Linked DNA regions of Drosophila melanogaster. The gene in region 2 interacts genetically with the main gene of each other region. Each region holds a gene or a part of one and is shown on either strand. Other genes may lie near its edges.

Evidence for each region.
Region 1: of Arf1 (region 2) and Sec71, changing one suppresses a phenotype caused by changing the other (phenotypic suppression), as found in Drosophila melanogaster (one study listed by BioGRID).

Annotation. Positions count from the first base shown.
Region 1 is NT_033779.5:13,791,795-13,795,547, reverse strand, and holds the start of Sec71 (secretory 71), read right to left. Parts: upstream 2,028-3,753; 5' UTR 1,701-2,027; coding exon 920-1,700; intron 653-919; coding exon 1-652. Other genes in the region: CG16863 (uncharacterized protein), read right to left, coding at 2,413-3,753.
Region 2 is NT_037436.4:22,870,226-22,873,978, forward strand, and holds the start of Arf1 (ADP ribosylation factor 1), read right to left. Parts: upstream 2,007-3,753; 5' UTR 1,832-2,006; exon of another isoform or gene 1,588-1,831; intron 1,500-1,587; exon of another isoform or gene 1,095-1,499; intron 863-1,094; exon of another isoform or gene 622-862; intron 70-621; exon of another isoform or gene 1-69. Other genes in the region: CG11109 (uncharacterized protein), read left to right, coding at 2,056-2,121, 2,210-3,463. UniProt on the Drosophila melanogaster protein: Small GTPase involved in protein trafficking between different compartments. Modulates vesicle budding and uncoating within the Golgi complex. In its GTP-bound form, triggers the recruitment of coatomer proteins to the Golgi membrane.

The DNA.
Region 1 (3,753 bases), on a different chromosome or scaffold from region 2:
TCGTTGACCAGTCTCTCAAAAAGGTTTGCAGCCGAAAAGTCGCAATCGTAATTAACATAGATATCCACCACGGACTGGGCGTCAGCACAAATACGTGTCAGCGCTTGGATTACCATCCATTTGTGCTCGAAGCTGCTTGAGTTCGCCTCAAGAATGTTTAGGAAGATTTCCTTGAAGAACACCTCTATCTGCCGCTTAAGATGCACCTTGAAGTTCGAGAGTAGGGCAACGAAGATTGAAAGCGACAGCTCGAAGACCTCCGGCACCAGACTGACTCCGTTGTTTGACAAGGCCACGCACAGGTACTGCTTAATGGCCATGATGAACATCTCGTTGGAGCGGAAGACGGGCCCGGCATTCTGGAGGATGAGCAGCAGCAGATGCAATGACAGCACCTTGGAACGCAGCTCGTGCGATTTCGGATCTGGATGTCCATCCGGCAAAGGCTTCATCGATAGCTTGCACAGTGCCCGGAACACGAGAAAAGCATCTTTCTGCAGGATGTGCGTAAACTTAGCCGTTACAACCGCATCGTTTTCGCTGTGCAGCTCCACACTGTCGTGATCCGAGTGCGAGGAGTAGTCGTTTCCATTAAGTGTTGGCTCTGGCTCACCGACCGATTCCTGATCCTTCATCGCCTCATTGTAGGCAGCTGAAAAACGTAACTGTCATTATTTTCGCGCAATGATAATTAGACGGTTTGGAGGAGTGGAATTTTATGTTGGACCTTATCGTATCGTACTGTAAATGATTCATACAATTTTTTCCCATCCGATAAGAAATATTTTATGAACTTAATTACGTTTCTTGAAAATATTGAAAAATAGTTAAATCTAAGCGAGTTAAGTAGAATAATAAGCAACTTCAGCTTAACAAGAAACATCTGTTTATCAAACTTTCTCCACCGAGTGCCACGCACCTGATATGATCTCCGCCAGCAGTTCCGAGGCAATTACTTCGTCGGAATCCCGCAGCGACTCCTCTCCCGAGCCATTGCAATCCTCCGAGTGGATGCTGCCGTTGGTGGGATTGGAATTGGGAGGTGGTAGCTCGTACACTTGATTCTCCATGCGGGCAAATATCACGTTCAACATTTGGGTGAGCGTAGCGCGTGCTGTGGTCTGATTGACCAGGTTCTTGCTGGACAAATAGATGTCGTAGCAGGTGCGCACAGCTTGCAGCAGTGTGAATTCATGGATTTCCACATGCTGCGAGGTGACCACCGTGAGCAGAGCCTTTATTATCTGCAGTTGGACGGCCTCGTCCGTCTGGGGACCACTGAAGCAGCCATATATGGTCACAACGATACGGTCGATGAGCAGGTGACCCGGATTGGCCGAGTCCTGAATGGATCCTGTCAAATGGCCATAGGCAATGAGTTTCTGCAGGCAGTCCAGTGCGGTGACCACGATCCTGGGCGAGCGGCTCTTGCAGGCAAGCTCGAAGGGGAGAAAGTAGGTCTCCGCATTTATGATGCTCGCTGCATCATTCTTGGGCAGCGGGAGTGCGGCACAGGGCAGCTCATTGCCCTCTGCGATCTGGCCGGCACTGATTAGCTCCGCCTTAATCTGCTCCAGCGCCGAATCGCAGGACTTCTTCAGCTGCGAGTGATGGGAGCGCCGTATGTCCTTATCGGCAAGGATCTTTTCTAGAGCACGCACGATGAACATTTCCTTGGTTTTTGTGGAGTTGTTGTGCATATTGGGCCGCTGCCACTCCCAAGGTCGCCTTCGCTGGGTGGGTTTCGATGCCTCTTTCCCTACTACCACTGCTTCGGATTTCCCTCTGCCCACCGCTTCCGGAAACAACAGCCACGCAACTTTCGCCTGCTGCCTTCTGGGTGCTCCGCCAGCTGTGCGGAGTGCTCCTCTCGGTTGGATTGTCGTGTGGCGGCACTCGGTGAGTTTTTAGCGTGTCGTGGATGTTTGCATGTTGCAAATCTCTCAGTTTTTCCACATTTACATTCCCTTCAAAATACGAAAAAACGTCATCAGAAGTGTGACCGTGTAAGCGAAAATTACTGAGCTGTCGGCAGTGTTGGGAAGTTTTTGGTATTCTCTCGGTTTTGGTATTTTTGCTAATTTGCTGGTGTTATTGTTATTTGAATTTGTAACGGCGATTTGTGATAACAAAAGAAAAAAGTAAACAATAAAGTTATATTTAAAATAAATTATTTGTGTAAATATGTGTAGTAAATAGTACTTACAAATCTTTAATGAATATGTGTTCGTTATTCGTTCCCTACCTCTAATTTTCTAATACAAAAATAGTTCCTTAACGCTTGAGAAGCTAAAAAGTTAAAAAATGTATTTTATAGTTCGCATTATTGTAAATGTAAATTAATAAATTAGTTAATAAAAGGGGTACAAAAACACAGTGCTCAACTTAGGTTTGGATTGATTATGGACTACGCTATAACTGCCACTCCTTCGTTGGAATTTCCGCCATGAAGAGTATGTTTTCCATGTTGTTTTCGATTAGTCTGGCGTACTGCGCCGCAACCGCCGCTCCTTCGGCCGTAAATAGCCGATCCGCCGGCTCTGCGGTGGCCGGAACGTGCAGGTACCTCTGTGCTACGTTGTGCAGGAAGGGGTGAGCTTCGGCCAGTTCCTCCCAGAGCTGAAAGGGATCGGCTCGCAGGGTACTCATGCCGGCGCAAAAGTATCTGGCTATCTCATCGTCCGCCTCGGGACCGTTGCTGCCGTTTACAATCCTTTGCTTCCCATGCGAAAAGGATTTGAATGCCGCCCAGATATCGTAGTGATCACGGTTCTCCGGATGCTTTGCAACAGCTTGCTCCCCGCTGTCCACATGCGCCTGCATCATGTCATAGAGTTGAGTCATGTACTGGGCCACCAGGGCCCCACTCCGGAAGGGAATATTTCGAAAGCGTGGGTCCAGCAGACTTGCCAATGCCAGGTGCAAGTTGCGCTCCATTCGTTCGAAGATCTCCTCCAGCTGCTGAACCAGGAACAAGCGTATTTCCCTGGCAACCATGTGTTCCGCACTCTTCTCCTGCTTCAGTTCGTTGATCAGAGTTTGGGCAATGGGCAGGGCTGTGCTGGCCGCCGGATATGGTGTTCGACTTAGCTCACGCATGGAGCTGGTCAACGGCCTCAGCACGTCCAGCAATTGCTGACACAAATCCACCTCCGATGTCGAAAGCGGCAGCGGCTCTTGAACGAGAGTCTGTTTCAGGTATAAGTCTAGCATATTGTACACACTAATCGGTCGGTGTATGGAATCCAGTTGGGGATTCAGCTGCAATGTGGACTGCACATGGGAACGCACCTTGTCGCGCAAATGACGTATTTCTGGGCGCTGCACCACCTCCTCTAAAATAGAATTCAATTGGTCTGCGAAGCAGGGAACATGATGATGAGCGCCCATGAACGATGTCACCGCATCCTCCAGTAGTTGACTGCTCCTTGTCGACACGCAGCAGATCCTTGACTTTGGAATGTCGAAGCGCTGACACACTTGGTCCATGCGATCCACCAGATCGTTGGAGGTGAAAAGATCGGGAAGGCGCAGCACAGAAAGAGTTCGGGAGATTCGTTGCCGCCCCTCGTGAAAGTGGGCCACCAGCTCCATCCAGCTTCGACTCTCCGCATTCGTGTGCACCGAGCAACTTAGGCTGAGTGTCGAGATGTCGGCCAACTGCTGGCAGAGCTTGGACCTCTGCGCTTCCGACTCCCTGCAGATAATGGCCTCCAGTTTCGCCGCACTCGGTGGTCTGTAGGTGGGGCACAG
Region 2 (3,753 bases):
GCGCCGAAGCTCCTCTGGTGTTTGTTTCACTTATGATCGCGCTTACGTGTTGAATGGCGCTTACCCACTCTGAGTCATACAAAAACCGGAAGAGCGGAAAAACCGGAAAAAGAAACGAAATTCGTTTTTGTTTATTGTAATAAGGACGTCTTCAATGCGTCAGCATGAGAAAAACAGAAAATTTGTTTATGTAATTAATTCCACACTTAAATACAACGCGAAATGGAGGATGTATGAAACACGAGTCGCTTGCTTTTAGTGTTTGCCCCGCTAGCGGCTGCTGATAAGATATCGATTTTTAGTATAGAACCATGACGGCTGTCGGCGCTCAGCGCCTCCCTTCCAACGTCCTCCACCCACTTTACACAGAGTACGCAAGAAACGTGCGGGCTGAGAAGTGCGTGAATGATAAGGCCAGGTAACTTGCAGTTTTCGGCGAACTTGCTGGGCGGAGGGGAAGCTCCCAAACTCTACAGTGAGTCACCGCTGCCGCCTTTTGAGCCCTGCAACCGAGCAGGCTGCAACCGATGGCTAAGCAATTCATGTTAAAATGGAGGAACGCAATGAGCAAGCCCGTTTCGCACGAACACAAAAAGAAAAAAGGTTGCCAGCGAAACATACGGAAACCTTTCGTTTGACAGCAATCGGATATCCAAAAACCTAAGTTTGTTACAGGGAACTAACACCCCAGAGACTTCTTCTCCGGACCGGTAGTGCGCAAAGATAGGTGCTCCACGTTACTGAGAAGATGCTGATGCCAGCTGACGATAGTTGGCTTGGAAGCAGCCGAAATCGAAAACTACACGTAGCAGCTTTTAATTTAGCGCTGAGGGAAGCGAGGCAGCCCACCACCGCACACTCACGCATACACCCGCAGGCGCCAGGGTTGCCAACTGCGTTGAGCCGCCCTGCCTTTGCTGCCTTTAATGCGTTTAAATAGAAGCTCCAGGCGGAGGGCGTCACTGCTCGAAGATGAACGCTTCGCCAGCCCACGCCCCATGTTCAGACATTTCGCAACTAAGCCCACTTTCGGATCGGGATCAGACAACTTTGAACTTTATACGTGGTTGCCTGCGTCTGTGTGAGTGACGTACGCTGTTTTTCTTATGGGTTGGTGAAATGCGGCTGCCGCCGTCCCTTGTTTTTACAAGAATACAGAGACCGGTCCGAAGTTACTTGGACTTCTTTTAACTGAGATCCTTTTAGCTCAGTGACACTTTACACGTCCATTTACCGATTATTCTGCCTTTTTTCGTGGACTTTTCTTTGATTGAATTTTCTATGCTGCCAAACACACCACACACCGAATTGCGAATAGAAAGATAATGGAGAGAAATGTATCGATAGCATCCGCTACCGATAGTCGATGAGCACAAGTCACTATTGTCTGCCGAACAGAGATTGTAAAATGTTCCCAATTATATAATTTAGCTATCACTTTTGTAATTAAAGGAGAGCTTGTCCTTGTCTCCTGTTACGATAATGCTATAAACAAAGCACCGACGATTAATTCGTGCGGCTTCCAATACTAATACTTCCACTATTCACCACAGCCGCGTACGTTGCGCGAGTGTTCGTGGATAGCCCACACTAAACACTCACACGAACATCTACATTACTGCGGAACTTCTTAAAATCAAGAAAAGTATCTCTGCCTTGACATACCACCCCCTTTTTCGACTGAAAACGCATACGCACCAACTAATTGAATCAAATGCACACGGCTAGGAGCGGAAATTTTAAAAACTTCTGCTTGGAAATGTCTAAAATCACAGAGCAAAATAAAACTTGACCGAGAATACACTTGCTGTTGAAAAAACTGCAAACTCACCAACATAAACGTTGCCGATAGAGATGGGCGCAGCGCATGAGCTAGAGCGGGATGCCGATGTTGTGTAGTCCCGTGGTGAAAACTCGGGAAATGCTGCCACGTCTCTTCTCCGCCACCTCGGCTAGAGTTGCCAACGATTTGGATTAATCGATTCATCATTGTCGCACAATGCTCACTCGATAAAGTTCACTATCCAGGTGATTTGAACTAAGTTAAATGTTAATATGTTTTACCCAAAAACACCATTTTTGGTGAACCCGTTGCTGGAAGCCGATATCCTTAAAGTGAATGTATGTACTTTCAATGTGCACAAATACGTATTTACAACAAAAACTGGCTTGCAAATTTTATTAACTGTTAATTCCTGGTTTTGTCAAGTCTGCTGCACTTGCTCCGCTGTTGGAATGGCTGTGCCTTACTCCCAAAGTCACCACTTACAGGGTGAACACTCTTAGGTGTTCCGTTGACGACTTTCGGAAAAAGTTAGAAGAAAAACTCGCCATTCGCTACGGTGTAAAATCTCCAAGGATTTACTGCTTGCCAAACCTACCCGAGATGTTGTGCATTGATCCGCTGGACTCACAGCTCACCAAAGCTGTGGCCGACTCCGAGCTCAAGGAGGTAGTGGTTGACACTAACTGCGGAGCTGCACTACTGCGAGGCGCCCACATATACGCCCCCGGTGTTTTAGCTATGGAGTCAAACACTGAGCGGGAGGAACTCGTCAATGTCTACGCAGATCTGGATGGAAAATGCAAGCGCGGGACGGTCAAGCGGTACGAAAGCCCAAATAAGGTTTTCCTGGGTACAGGCAAGGTGTTAATGCAGCGGTATCAGCTGTTCAACAACGCGGAGAAGCCCGCCTCTGGAGTGGCCGTGGAAATGCAGTCCAACGTCAGCGGAGTGCCCACGCTGGGGGATCTAAGCAGCGAAGACGGCCTGTTGCAAAACCTGCCTTCTATTGTTTGCGTCCGTGTCCTGGATCCGCAGCCCGGCGAGCGCATACTGGACATGTGTGCCGCTCCGGGTAACAAAACAAGCCACATAGCCGAGTTGATGGGCGATCGGGGATCTGTGGTGGCCCTAGACAATTCGGCCAGTCGCGTCCGCAGCATGCTGCCCAAATTGGGACACTACAAAAGCATAACGGCGCATGTTTTTAACTCCACCGAGGCAGTGGCAGCGGACGCTCCATCTGCACCCGTGGGAGAATTCACTGGGCCTCCGTTTCCATGTGAAAGCTTTGACCGAATCTTGCTCGATGCACCCTGCAGTGGGCTGGGCAACCGGCCACAGTTGTCCTGCAGCATTAAACAGGTTAAGGTCTTGTCCTCATATCCCCATATTCAGCGCCGGCTATTTGAACAGGCAGTGCAGCTCGTTCGTCCTGGCGGCATCCTTGTATATAGCACGTGCACCGTCACCGAGGATGAGTGCGAATGTCTTGTGGCCTGGGCACTAAGAAAATTTGTCGAGCTGCGGCTAACAGATGCCACTCCCCGGTGGGGCGGTCCCGGACTTCCGCTTCCCGGTTTCGAGGCATGTAAATCTCGTCTGTTGCAGCGCTTCGGTCCAAGCGGAGCAAATGCGGACACTGTGGGCTTTTTTATTGCGAAGTTTCAGAAAATATAAATAAATTCAACTTCACTGAAATTTTTTGTTTATTGGGCTCGATAATTTAAACATTCGTTTTGATTTGCAAAAGTAAGCCGGCTTATGAGTGATATAAGTGAGACCTACGCTAGTGGTATTTGATCAAGAAAATTTCAACCCTACGCTTAGAAAAGCATTTGAAAAATGCAGTCTGATAACATTTAGGCTTTGCTCTCCCATAGCTGCTTGTGCTATCTTAATGGAGATACATAATGTTATCTTTTTGTTTTCGAGTTAAAAAGAACTTAAATAATTTACAATTCATAACT